2 linked regions of the Caenorhabditis elegans genome follow. The protein of the gene in region 1 purifies or fractionates together with the protein of each later gene. This does not show direct contact. Each region holds a gene or a part of one and is shown on either strand. Other genes may lie near its edges.

Region 1 (8,302 bases):
GACTTTGTTGATGACGTGTTCGGTGATTTGGCGCCAAAGCTCGCTCAGCCATATCGTGACGAGATCTTCAGTATTGCCAATGCCACCGGTATCCCATTGGGACAGATCACCATGTATAACATCTTCTACGAGATCTTCACCGTTTGCACATCGGTCATCGCTCAGGACAAGGACGGCCACGTTTTCCACGCCAGAAACCTCGATTTCGGACTCTTCATGGGATGGGACCCAGTTCTTCACGACTGGCAAATCTCGCAAAAGCTTCGTAAGATGATCATCAACGTCAACTGGCTCAAGGACGGAAAGCTGTTGTACAAGTCGAACAACTTTGCCGGATACATTGGAATCTACAACGGTCTCAAGCCAAACGCCTTCTCCTTGACTGCTGACGATCGATTCCAGCTTGTCGGAGGATACTACGGTATTCTCAAGTGGGTGTTCGGATTGGAGGCCGACGGAAAATGGATGTCCTGGTTGGCAAGAGAGACCCTCGAGACTAAGACCAGTGAGTTGAATTGTTTTCTTGATGACTTAGATCCTTAGAATTCGGAAGCTTTGATTTCCAGGAAGCTTAGGCTTAGATTCAAGTGTCCCTAATCTTTGCTTCTAATATCCATTGGGCTAGATCCGTCTGAGATCCATAAAGGCTCTATATCCCGAGCTTTCAGCCTACCTCGACGCCAAGGAGCACTTGATGAACACTCCAATGCTCTCACCAGTCTACTTCATTCTCGGAGGATCCAAGAAGGACGAGGGATGCATCATCGCTAGAAGTCTCGACAAGACCGCACTTCTCACCGAGATGGCCACATCCCCACACGGATGGTACCTGTTGGAGACCAACTACGATCAGGGAACCGAGGTGAGAGATGCTAGAGTTGAAGGTGTAGAGTAGGTTCTGGTAGACGGATCTAGGGGCCCAACTTTTAGGAGAGGTCCTTCTCTAGGCCTAGGTCTAGTATTTTGAACCCAGCTTCTTTTTTTGAGTGGGTCGAACTCCTAGCTAGAAATTTTGATCAAAAATCTGTCAAAACCTATCCGGAATTAACTTATCCAACATTTCCCTCTTCCAGGACCTCTACCTTGACGACCGTGACACTCCGGGATTCCGTTGCATGGACAAGTTGACCCAGAAGAACGTCGGATTCGAGGGAATCTTCAACGTCTTGTCATCCCGCACCAACCTGAATAAGCTCACCACCTACACCGTCCTCATGTCCGTCGAGACTTCTCGCTTCGAGACCATCCTTCAATCCTGCCCGGGAGAATGCTATCCATGGTAGATTGGATTCAACATTCTCATATACGCAATGATTCATTGAAATAAACTTTCATTTTTGTAAATAAACTTTGATGGGTTCTTGTTTGAAAACGAAATTTTCATAAAATTTAAAAATTTTAGAGTTTTTTGGTTTTTTTTAAACAAAAATTAAAAATTTTAATTTTCCCGCTGGAAAAAAATAATGAGTTACGGTAGATTTAAAGGCGCATGCACCGAAACTTATCGAGGTTACCAAAGTTATTGCTTTTTGTGGAATTTTACATTTAAAAAATAATTGTTTGCTAATTTTATGGTTTTTCGTCGTTTTTTCGTTTCTAACCAAGTTTTCCTCCTGAAATTCAAATTTCGTCACAATTTTATTAAAAATGGGATACGGTAGATTTAAAGGCGCATGCCTAAATATTTCTTCTGAGTCTCGTAGCGATTGGTGGTTTTGTGGAATTTTCTACTAGAAAAATGAATTTAAACTGATTTTCCAGTATTTTTACACAAATTTTTTTTATTTCAATTCAATTTTCAAATTATTCAATTCAATTTTCTGGCGGAAATTGCCAGTTTTTGTCATTATTGTCCAATAAAATAAGGTACGGTAGTTTTAAAGGCGCACACCTAAATTTTGCTCCCTTGGTTTCAGTTTTGAATTTTTAAAATAGAATTTTAACCGATTTTCGTCGATTTTCACTTAATTTTTTGCACTTTTCCGACGAAAAAGTCGATTTTTTGCAAAATTCGGTATTTTTCTCCATTTTTTCGCGAAAAAACCGCTATAAACCAAATTCTCCACCTTTTCCATCCAATTAATCCGTCTCCAAGGCCTCCTGCACCGCTGCTGCCGCTCCGTCACTCGCCGAGAGAGTATATAAAGTGAAGAGACTGCAGACTGCAAGAGGGCGTGCCCGCCAGCAGCCGATATCCATCTTTGCACTCATTTTCTTCGATTTTCCTCCGTTTTCCGCTAATTTTCTCCGGATTTTCAGTATTTTCCAGTAGCTGCCACGTGGAATTTGACGATTTTAACGAGAAAATCGCAAAAAATCGTCGAAAATGGCGACTTCCGCCATGTTTATACTGGATTTGAAGGGAAAAGTGAGTTTTTTAGTGTTTTTCACGTCGGAAAATGCCAATTTTCGCATTTTTCAGACGATAATTTCTCGAAATTATCGCGGAGACATCGACATGACGGCAATCGATAAATTCATTCATTTACTCATGGAAAAAGAGGAAGAAGGCTCGGCAGCGCCCGTTTTGACCTATCAGGACACGAATTTCGTGTTTATCAAGCACACAAATATTTATTGTGGGTTTTTTGTGTGAAAAATTGAATTTAAAATCAAAAATTAGATAGAAAAATGGCAAAATTGAAGAAAATCCGTTGAAAATGACGCAATTGGTCAGAAATTTGAATTTTCAAGCCAAAAACCGATAAAAAGTGCAATTTTTTGTGGTTTTTAACATTTTCAAATTGAAAATAACGTTTTAAAACTAAAAAATGAGTTGAAAAACAGTGAAAAGTAACAAAATCCCTTGAAAATAACGGAAAACCCAAAAAAATTCAATTTTTTGATTTTAAAGTCAGAAAAATTCAAAAATTCCTTGATTTTCTGAATTCCCGAGTGCTAAAATTCAAAAAAAGCCGAATATTCGTAAAAATTGACTAAAATCAATAAAACTGCGATTTTCGTAATTTTTCCATTTTGTAGTTTATTTGAAATGTGGTAAAAATCTTAAAAAAGGAGCAAAATTGTTTCAAAAATCAAGCTTTTCTGCCAGAAAGTCGATAAATTGCGAAAAATTCGTCATTTTTCACACTTTTTCGACATATTTTCACGATTTTTGAGCCAGAATTGTAAATTTCCGGAAATTTTCCCGCCGACAGCGGGTGCAAGCGCGCTCCAATGATAAAACACCCATTTTTAACGGATTTTCAGTCATTTTCTCCAGAATTTCCAGTCAAAAATTCAAATTTCCCTCATTTCAGTGGTCTCAGCATGCCGTTCAAACGTCAACGTCACAATGATTTTGTCATTTTTGTACAAATGCGTCGAAGTTTTCTCCGAATATTTCAAAGATGTCGAAGAGGAGTCGGTTCGCGACAATTTTGTCGTTATCTATGAACTTTTGGACGAAATGATGGATTTCGGGTTCCCACAGACGACTGAGAGTCGAATTCTACAAGAGTAAGGAGGAAAAACGAGAAAAATTGAAAAAAATTACTCAAAAATTCGAATTTCCCGCACGAAAAATCGTTTCATTTTCTGCTGCAAATGCGCTCCAATGCGAAAATAGCCAAATATTAGCGTTGGAGCGCATTTGCAGCGCGCGATAGCAGTAATTTTAAATTTTGGGTCAAAATATGTATTTTCGACCCTAAAATTTTGAATTTCCAATCACAAATGCGCTCTAATGCAAAAATCGCAAAAAATTTACATTGGAGCGCATTTGCAGTGGCGGGGAATTCAAAAATTCAAATTTTCCTGTTCAAAATGTGTCTTTTGTCTCGAAAATTTGAATTTCTATTTGCAAACGCGCTCCACTGCGATTATTTGCACTGTAGCGCGGTTGCAGCTGGGAAATTTGAATTTTCATTGAAAATTTCAATTTTCTCGCATTCAACATGCAGCAAACGCGCTTCAATGCAAAAATCGCAAAAGTTCACATTGGAGCGCAATTTTCCTGTTCAAAATGTGTTTTTCGACTCGAAAATTTGAATTTTTGTGCAAAATTATCATCGATTTTTCCTCAATTTTCAATCAAAAAACCCCCCAATTTTTTGCAGATACATCACACAAGAAGGTCAAAAACTAATTTCGGCACCCCGTCCCCCGATGGCAGTGACAAATGCCGTCTCATGGCGCTCTGAAGGCATAAAATACCGAAAAAACGAGGTTTTCCTGGACGTAATCGAAAGTGTGAACATGTTGGCCAGCGCCAACGGTACCGTACTTCAATCGGAAATTGTTGGAAGCGTTAAAATGCGTGTCTATCTTACCGGAATGCCTGAACTTCGGCTGGGTCTTAACGATAAAGTACTTTTTGAGGGCAGTGGACGTGAGTTTTTTCGAATTTTATGCGAAAATTGAGATTTTTCAGGCAATTTTACCCTAAAATCGATAAAATTTTGTTAAAATTCAACAATTTTAAAGTTTTTAGCGTTTTTCAATTGCGCTCCAATGCGACTTTTTTTAAATTTTTGCAATGGAGCGCGTTTGCAACTTGAAATTCAAACTTCCTACCGCTACAATCGCGCCCCATTGATAATTCTCGATTTTCAGGCGGAAAAAGCAAATCTGTGGAACTGGAAGACGTGAAATTTCATCAATGTGTACGCCTGTCGCGTTTTGACACGGATCGAACGATCTCCTTCATACCGCCCGACGGAGCATTTGAGCTTATGAGCTATCGGTACGAAAAAAGTGGAGAAAATCGGATTTTTAACCGAAAAATCGAGTTTTTCGCATGATTTTGACGGAAATTCAGTGATGTGGCCTAGTTTTTTCGAAAAGTTAGGCCACCGACTTCTAATCTGTGGCCGAAGTTTGATTTTGTCTATTTTTTGGCTTAAATACTCGATTTGAAAGCTGAAAATGCCAGAAAATCCTAGGAAATGCCAATTTACCCACGTGGCCTAGGTTTTTTGGAAGTTAGGCCACCATAGCCTAGTTCGTGGCCGAGTTGTAATTTCGAGTTAATTTCTGCTTTTTTATGCCAAAAACGCTCGAAAAACAATTATAAGGTGTAGAAAATACAAATTTGCTTACGTGGCCTAGGGTTTTCCGGAAAAAACTAGGCCACCAAAGGCCGATTCCTGTTTTTGGGTTCTTTTAGGTCAAAAAACTCGTTATTCAGACGAAGAAGAGCTCAGTAACATGAAAAATTCTAGAAAAATACAAATTTGCATACGTGGCCTAGATTTTACAAGAAAGTTAGGCCACCACTGGCCAATTCATGGCCGAACTCTATTTTTTGGCTAAAAACTCGGCTTCTTTACTACAATAGCTCGATTTTTCTGTAAAAACACGTTAAAACTGTAACAAATGGAACACGTAACATGCAAATTTCCACTCGTGGCCTAGTTTCTCGCAAAAGTTAGGCCACCACTGATCAGTTCGTTGCCGAACTCTATTTTTTGCTGAAAACTGTGTGTCTGGATCAAAATTGTTGGTTTTTCTTAAAAAATAAGTCAAATACACCTGCGGCCTAGGTTTTCGGGTAGAAAATTAGGCCACACCTTAATTTTGAGTCTAAAAAGTTGATCACTAGGCCAAATTTAGCTTGAAAACACTGAAAAATAAAAAAAAAGCAAATTTACATGCGTGGCCTAGGTTTTCAGGTAAAAAGTCAGGCCATGCCTCAATTTTGTGTCGAAAAACTCGATTTTTACCTCAAAAAGCTCCAATTTTTCCTGAAAATTCTCGAAAAATACCGTTTTTTTTCAGATTAACAACCGTGGTGAAGCCGCTGATCTGGATCGAGACAAGCATCGAACGTCACAGTCACAGCCGTGTCTCGTTTATAATCAAAGCGAAATCACAATTCAAACGGCGCTCCACTGCTAATAACGTGGAAATCATTATTCCAGTCCCGTCGGACGCTGATTCACCGAAATTCAAGACAAGCATCGGTTCGGTGAAGTATACGCCCGAGCAATCGGCCTTCGTATGGACTATTAAGAATTTTCCCGGCGGAAAAGAGTACCTTTTGACCGCCCATCTATCTCTACCGTCTGTGATGAGTGAAGAGTCTGAAGGACGGCCGCCGATTAAAGTCAAATTTGAAATTCCGTATTTTACGACCAGCGGCATTCAGGTAGCCGAATTTTTCGCTTAAAATTCGACTTTTTAGCTCAAAAATTCAAATTTCCCACCGCCAAAAACTGCCCAATTTTGAGATTTATGTAATTTTTTCGCTCTAAAATGCTGAAAATTTCATTTAAACACATGATATTATTTAAAAATCCGACTTTTCAACTAGATTATTTGAATTTCCCGCCGACCGCATGTTGCAAGCGCGCTCCACGGATAAAACTGCTCAAAATGCAGATTTTTGTGATTTTTTTGCGTCAAGATGATGCAAATTTCTCGAAAAAACCTAACATTTGACTTTTTAACTCAAAAATTCAAATTTCCCGCCTACCACATATTGCAAGTGCGCTCCACGGAGAAAACGGCTCAAAATTGAGAATTATGTGATTTTTTGGTGTTTAAGGGTGATAAAATCTTCTAAAAAAAAGGCTTGAAAATTCAATTTTTCCCATAAATTCCACCAAGTAAACCCTAATTTTCAAATTTTCAGGTCCGTTATCTGAAAATCATCGAGAAAAGTGGATATCAAGCATTGCCGTGGGTCCGCTACATTACTCAAAATGGAGAATACGAGATGCGGATGAAATAATTCCTGAAAAAATTACCTAAATTCATATTTTATTGTATTTTATTCCCAATTTTACTCTTAATTTTTGGAATTTTTTATGAAAAATTGGTGAAAAACGACCGTGGCCGAGTTTTTGGAAAATTTGGAGGTCTAGGCCACCATGCTTCCAGTGGTGGCCTAACTTTTCGAAAATCCTAGGCCACGGCCCCGTTTTCCATCAATTTTTGCCTCTTTTAATGTCAAACATCTCCAATTTTTTCTGTGAAAATTTAATGCTCCGCGAGCTGCTCCCCGGCTCAAAACATGTGTTGTGTGTGCTCTTTCCCCTGATGACCCCGAACTCTATTTTTTTTTGTTCGAAAATTTTTATTTTATTTTTCCCACCGATTTATTTATTGATTTTTATCGCATAATTTAGATTTTTTCCAGAAAAACGAGTTTTTTCCCTTTCCCACCAGCATAATTTTCTCACCACATGGATCCTCATCAATTTTTCCCGTTTTCCTTTTTTCAGTAAATCAATAAATTTTCTGTCATAATTGTTTACAAAATGTTTTCCGGGGGCTAAAAATTCCATTTCAAAAATTGTCTAAATTTCCAGAAAAATCACTGAAAAAAATGCAAAAAATTGCCAGAAAATGCGCCGATTGTTGCCGATTTTTCGTCGAAATTTGCGAATTTCTGCATTTTCGCGTCAATGCACCACATCTGACGACACTTTGCGGACTTTTGCGCCAAATGCGTTGATGGATCGAATTGTGGACGATTTGAAGGTTCGGCAAAGCGGGAATTTGAAAATTTTGAAGATTTAGCATTGGGGCACACTTGCATCACGCTTTTATGGCGCGAAATTTGAATTTTTGCCCTAATTTTGGACTTTTTTTTGCATTGGAGCGCATTTGCATTAGCGGGAAATTCAAATTTCCAACTCTAATTCAATTTTTTCCAGAAAACTGGCACACATTTTGTGATTCCCGGTCGAGATTCCTTTGCCAGACAGGAATCGGCAAAAGTTTTCGAAAAACTTTTGGAAAATGGTAGGTTTTGCTAATTTTTTTTAGTGAAAAATTTGAAAAAACGAAAAATCGAGGGTTTTGAGCATTTTGACTCTGAAAAAACAAAAAAAACTAGATTTTGAAGCATTTTATCCGTGGAGCGCACTTGCAACATGTGGTCGGCGGGAAATTCAAATTTTTGAAATAAAACACGGAATTTAGGCGAATTTTATGTTTTTACAGACGATTTTCAAGCATTTTGAGTCTGAAAATTCGCAAAAATCCTGATTTTGGGCTGTTTTATCCATGGAGCGCACTTGCGCAATGTGGTTGGCGGGGATTTCAAATTCTTGAGTTAAACTATATTTTTGAGCGTTTTAACGTAGTTTTCTTTAATTTAAAGCCATCTTTCACCATAATAAATCAAATTTTCAGTGATTTTTCAGACATTTATCGATTTTTCCTCAAAAATCCCACAATTTTCAGGTGTAAAATGCGAATTTCTGCTGGATGCGAACACAAAAAACGCCACACTGTTCCGTACAATTGTCTCACAGCCTGGCGCCTCACTGGAGGTACGTTTGGATGGGGTACTGTAGAAAAACCAATTTATTTTTGGGAAAAAATTTTTAGAGAGAGGGGAGAAATTTCGCGG
Region 2 (5,703 bases), on another chromosome or scaffold:
TTGGTGAACCAATGCAAAAAGTCGACTGGAATACGGTGGTCTCGACACGAACCGGCAAAACGGAACCCAGGAAAATGGCCAAAGTTCCGCAAAAGTGCACATTGCCCACGCAATCGGTGGCCTGAATAATTATCCTCTCTGAAAAGATCTTTGAATCGTTATATTTTTGTACTTTTTTTTGTGTTTTTGGGGGCCATTGTTTCGAGGAAAAAAAAGTCATAATTGTTCCCCCACTCATTCCTTCCTTTTTTGTTGAACAATTTTTCAAAAAAAAAAAAATGTTTCTCGGTTTTTTTTTTTCAACTTTTCAGGTTCTAGAATTTTTAGTTTTTCCATTTTTCCGGCGGAAATTTTTTTTATAATTTCAATTTTCAAAAAAGAGTAACTGAAATTGTGCGAAAATTCAAATTAGCCCAGTAACCGCGCCCTATTGAGAATTTACCGGTCTCGCAGCGAAATGTTGACTTTTTTCTTTTGAATTGCTTATAAACCAAGAAATTCGGCGATTTTTGTGAAAATATAAAGTTTTCGGTCTGGACACAACAAATTTTTGTTAAATGCAAAAAGGTGTGCGCCTTTAAAGAGTACTGTAGTTTCAAAATTTCGTTTCTGCCGAATTTAAATCGATTTTCCAAATTTTTTCTCACGATTTGTTTAGCTTTTTGCTAAAAAAAACATACGTTTTCATCAAAAAACTGTGAAAAATCTCTCAAAATTATGCGACAACTAAAGTTTGAAGCTACAGTACTCCTTAAAGGCGCACACCTTTTTGCATTTAACGAAAATTTGCCGTGTCGAGACCTTAGCGCAAAAATCGCTAATTTTTTCAAAAAAAAATCCTCGGCCACCATGCAGTCAAGGGATACTCCCTAAGACGTCATTTTCTAACAAAAAAAAAACAAAAAAGAAAATGTTGATGTTTCACCAGATTCCTCCCCGTTGTTGGGTGGAAGAACTTTCATGAATTTTGTATGTTTCGGAACGTAGCTCCTCCTTCAAAAAATGCTCCAAAATGCATGATGAGATGGGCTCACTGAGCTCCCCAAAAAAAAATTCATCGAGGAGCTGCTCACCGAGAATCACTTTGTTTTCGTCGACGATTTTTCTTGCAGATTACTGTAAAATTGGCAGTTTTTCGTGAAAACTGCTAAGTTTCGCTGCAAGACCAACAAATCTCAATGGAGCACGTTTGCAGCGTGATTTTGAATGTTTATTAAATTGCTCAGCTGTTTTGTGTAAAAATCGAGTCCTTCTAAAAAAACCCCCTAGGAAAACTCGTAAAAAAGACTGAAATCGTACCAAGACCCACCACGCGCCTTTAAGTTTGCCCATCATATTTTGCGAATGTGTAATAATAGTTTTAAAAAGGTATTTTTTCGTGAAAAATCCGGCATTAATTTAAAAAAATAAGTGTTAATCAATATTTTTGACCGAAAATTCAAGGTTACTCAGCAACCGCGCCCTGTCGAGAACTCCCCGGGTCTCGCAGCGAAAATACTGAAAAAAAGAGATTTTGGAAATTTTCGCGCCAAAACTGCGTTACACGGTCTCGACACGAAAATTTTTAAAATGAAAGTATATGTTTTTAGTGTTTCTATTTAATTTTTTCTCAAAAAAATAAATTTTCATCGAAAAACTACGAACATCCGTACCACCGAAATTTTGAAATTACAGTACTCTTTAAAGGAGCACACCTTTTTGCATTTAACAAAAAAATTGTCGTGTCGGGACCCGGTACCGTACTTTTCCGCGAAAGTTTCATTCCTATTTTGAAATTTTCTTAGAAATATGAAATTTCCATCTGCATTCCAGCACAAAAACATTTATAACTCGGGAATCCTTCAAGATTTTAAAAATTTGTCAACTGATAATATATTCAGCACAAAATTTGCCACATTTTGTTAGTTGCCAATTTTTTGATCAGTTGCTTAACTGGCGATGTATATGAGTTTGAAAATTTTCGGGAAAAAATTTCAAAAAAATTTTTCGAATTTTTTTCAATTTTCTTTTGATTTTGAATTTTCCTAACATCGTTTTATCAGATATTTTAAAAATTGAATAGCTCGAACCCTGAAAGATCCTCGATTTTTTAGTTTTCTCCTAAAAGTACTTAACTCCCCCCGTCACCTAGTACTTTTTAATCAAATTTATTCGCCAATTTTCAACATTTTTTTCCCTAACACCATATAATCAAATTCCCGTTTTCACCAACAATACCAAAATCCATTTATCAATAATCAATATTCAGTGCCACGTGTCACTCACTTCCAGACGCTCAAAATCGCGCCGATTCCCCAAAACCGGACAATTATGAGGTGAGACGAGCCGAAAAAGAGACAAGCCTATATGAAATAATGACATCTGTGACGTCTAGGTTATAGGTTTCCATGGAAAAATGTGTGAAGAATATTTCTGGCATTTTTGGATTTTTAAACAATTTTGAAAAAGAGTTTTTGGTTTAAAAATATTTTTTTTTCTATTTGTGTTTCACTTTTTCCGAGAAATTGCTAACTGCACAATTGTTTAGCTAAATAGTTGCTACATTTTGTTAGTTTACAATTTTTATGTAACTCGTAAGGCTATGAAGATATGAAGGTTCAAACGTTTAAGTTATGTAGGCAAAATGGTATTCACATGCTCTAATTTTAAAATCATTGTTTCGTTGCTGAAAATTGAGATTTTCAATTAATTCTATATGACAAAATATTTTGCAGAAAATTTGCCACATTTTGTTAGTTGACAACTTTTAGATAGAAAAAATTATAAAAAAGTTACAAACGTTTGAAAAAAATTGTAAAAAATTAAATTTAAAAAAACTGAAAATTGTAAACCGACCAAGTAAATTACGTAAAATTTTTTAATCTTTCTCTACTATAATTTTCACTTGCATTACTCCTAATAGAAAGGAAATGATAGAAAATATTAGCTTTTTCGAGAGAGCGAAAGAGAGGGGAGACGCAGACACTACAACCGTCTGCATTTCCCCTCACCCTCTACACACTCGCAGATGATTGTTTAAGTGCTTTTATCTTTTCAGGCAGTTGCGTTATCAAAACGTTTTTAAATAACAACTTGTAGAAAATTTTAAGGGCTATATTTTATTAATTGGTAACTTTTTGCTAATGCTTGTAGTTTTTGAGATATATCATTTTTAGATAAACAACTTTAAAAGCTTTATATCTTAAAAACCATTGAAGCTGTCAGAAACTTGTCAAGTGACAAAATATAGCCCTTAAAATTTTCTACAGTTTAATAATAAGATATGTTACTTTTCAGCCACCAAGCCTCCCATTTCGGGGTTAAGAAAAAGTGGAAGGCCAACGGATCATCGGGTGGTGGTGGCCTGTCGGCGTTTGCCAGGATGAAACGTAAGTTGTTGAAAATTTGGGAAACAACTATTTGTAACTAGTTTGACCTCCCATAAACCCGGAAGTTACTATTTTTGGCGCATCCCATCATTTTTAGTTCTTTCTTTGCTACGTTTGCATTGTTAAGGGGGTCTTCTTGCAAGAAATGCTGTGCCACGTGAAACTTTTAAAAATAAAAGTTTTGAAAAATTCATTGTTATTTTCAGGAACAAAGTTTTTATGGATGAATTTTCAATTTTCTAAAAAAGTTTTTAGAGTTTTCAGAAGAATCCAAAAATTAATTTTTACAATAAGTATGTTTCGTACAGTATACTGTACGAAAAAAAAAACGGGAAAACTAGGTTTATTAAAAATATGTTAGGTTTAATTCTAATATAACTTTGTAACTATGAGATTTTTCCAAAAAATCGGGAATACGAAAAACTAAAATTTTCTATTTTTCATTTTTTTGAAAATCTAAAAATCTAAGCAATTTAAATTTAAAAAAAGAACATGAATTTTTTTAAAAAATTAATTATCGATCACTCCAGCAGGGGTTGGCGGCAAAAAAAAAATTTTGTCGACAAATTCGGCAAATCGGCAAATGGTCGGTTTGCCAATTTGCCGGAATTTTTCATTTAAGGCAAGATGCCGATTTGCCGGAAACTTTTGGAGGGATTTTTTAACAGGACGGAAACACTTAAAACTATGCCTTTTTGAAATATTTTTCCCGTTTTCATTGAATTTCTGAAATCTCCAAAAATAATGTGCAAAAGCACTTGTCGTTTTTCTGGCAAATTCGGTGAATCGGCAATTTGACGACTGGCCGAGTTGCCGGATCTTTCGATTCCGGCAATATGCTGATTTGCCGGAAAAATTTTTTGCCGCTCACCCCTGGATCATTCCACGTCATAAAGTTGCCACGTCATAAAAAGTGTTCTTTGGGTGACCTCCATTGCTCATAAGCTCTCTCATAAATATCTAAATAGGCATATCTTTTTCATTTTTGCTCATGAAAGAGAGCACCACGATTTTAAGAAAAAATGCCTACCTACGCACCTACATGGCAGGCAGGCAACAAAATTGTAGGCATGGATGTGCCTGCCTTGTAGGCGCGAAGGTAGGCATGCCTTCTCTAAGGTTTGAACTTTTCAGCTGTTCTGGATCCATCGGCCGATCGAATTTGGACAATTGGACAAATTATCTATCAGCGACACCAGGCCTTTAACAGAAATTCCGCGATTAAAAGTCGTAAGAAATTTTTTTTCTCCCCTTGATTTTTTTTATTTTCTAAGGCAGCTGATAAAAGTGTCATTTATCACCTGTCAGATTTCCTCAACTTATGATACTAACAAGAAACTATTTCTTGAAAAATGTATATTTCAGAGGACAATGGAAGTTTCGACTACATTGATATGGTCTCGCAAAGCTCACTGGATAGGTTAGTTGGGAGTATAGTAGGGGTGCTAGCAAAAAGTTCTAAACTAATAAATTTTTTACTAGCTTATATAGTTTTTGAGATATAAAGGTTTAACTAAAAACTGCGATATCTCAAAAACTATTAAAGCTATCAAAAAGTTGTCAACTAACAAAATATAGCCCTTAAAATTTCCTACAAATTATTAATTAACAAATTTTTAATAGCACTTACCGTTTTTGAGAAAAGGGGGTTTTAGTATTTCTTAATTTGTGGTTAGTTTTTTTAGACTGTTTCCCATTTTATGTCGGTTGCTAACACAATTTCTCTTGAAAATAATTCCTAGATGGAAAATTAAGTTTTTACTGAAACCAAGAAATTGTGTTAGCAGCCGACATAAAACGGGAAATGTTTTTTTCAAAAATAACCTATTAGAAATTAAAACAAAACCAAACCTTTTAATCTCAAAAACTTTAAATGCTATCAAAAAATTGTTAACTGGCGAAATATAGTCCCTAAAATTTCCTACAATTTGTTAGTTGACAACTTTTTGGTATCACTAACCGATATGGATATTGAGGGTTTAAAAAAAAAATAATTTCTAAATTTTAATAGTTACTTTTTTTTTAACCTTTCCCATTTTATGTCGGCTGCTAACTCAATTCCCTTTTGATAAAATTAAAAACCACCTTGTTATTTTTAATAAAAACTCAATTTTCCATTACCTACAATTTCACCTTGTCCCGCCGCCGCTGACTCCGCCCATATTATTCAATTATATTTTGGTGGAGCGGTGCTTGTGCCTTAAAGCCAGAGAAAGTGGGAAAATTCGCACTCTTTCCTGCCTCTTTATTATCGACTTCTGATTTTGTGTCTGAAATACTTTTCCTTGGCTCGCAAAAAAAAAAATTTGAAAAAATAAATAAATGTGGAAACAAC

Evidence for each region. Proteins that work in one complex are often made in the same cells at the same time.
Region 2: the proteins of unc-101 (region 1) and kvs-4 purify together in Caenorhabditis elegans (affinity purification with western blotting, with the first as the bait; one study listed by BioGRID). This does not show direct contact.

What each region holds. Positions count from the first base shown.
Region 1 is NC_003279.8:12,506,229-12,514,530, forward strand, and holds unc-101 (AP-1 complex subunit mu-1-I), read left to right. Parts: upstream 1-2,070; 5' UTR 2,071-2,326; coding exon 2,327-2,368; intron 2,369-2,422; coding exon 2,423-2,579; intron 2,580-3,260; coding exon 3,261-3,459; intron 3,460-4,058; coding exon 4,059-4,330; intron 4,331-4,554; coding exon 4,555-4,684; intron 4,685-5,718; coding exon 5,719-6,088; intron 6,089-6,574; coding exon 6,575-6,673; 3' UTR 6,674-7,192; downstream 7,193-8,302. Other genes in the region: asah-1 (Acid ceramidase subunit beta), read left to right, coding at 1-505, 669-862, 1,074-1,283; mter-4 (Mitochondrial transcription termination factor family protein), read left to right, coding at 7,291-7,425, 7,602-7,689, 8,134-8,222. UniProt on the Caenorhabditis elegans protein: Component of the adaptor complexes which link clathrin to receptors in coated vesicles. Clathrin-associated protein complexes are believed to interact with the cytoplasmic tails of membrane proteins, leading to their selection and concentration.
Region 2 is NC_003281.10:11,010,318-11,016,020, forward strand, and holds the start of kvs-4 (putative voltage-gated potassium channel subunit kvs-4), read left to right. Parts: upstream 1-2,246; 5' UTR 2,247-2,310; coding exon 2,311-2,315; intron 2,316-3,276; coding exon 3,277-3,368; intron 3,369-4,502; coding exon 4,503-4,598; exon of another isoform or gene 4,599-4,655; intron 4,656-4,733; coding exon 4,734-4,788; intron 4,789-5,703. Other genes in the region: exos-1 (Exosome complex component CSL4 homolog), read left to right, coding at 1-125. UniProt on the Caenorhabditis elegans protein: Voltage-gated potassium channel that mediates transmembrane potassium transport in excitable membranes.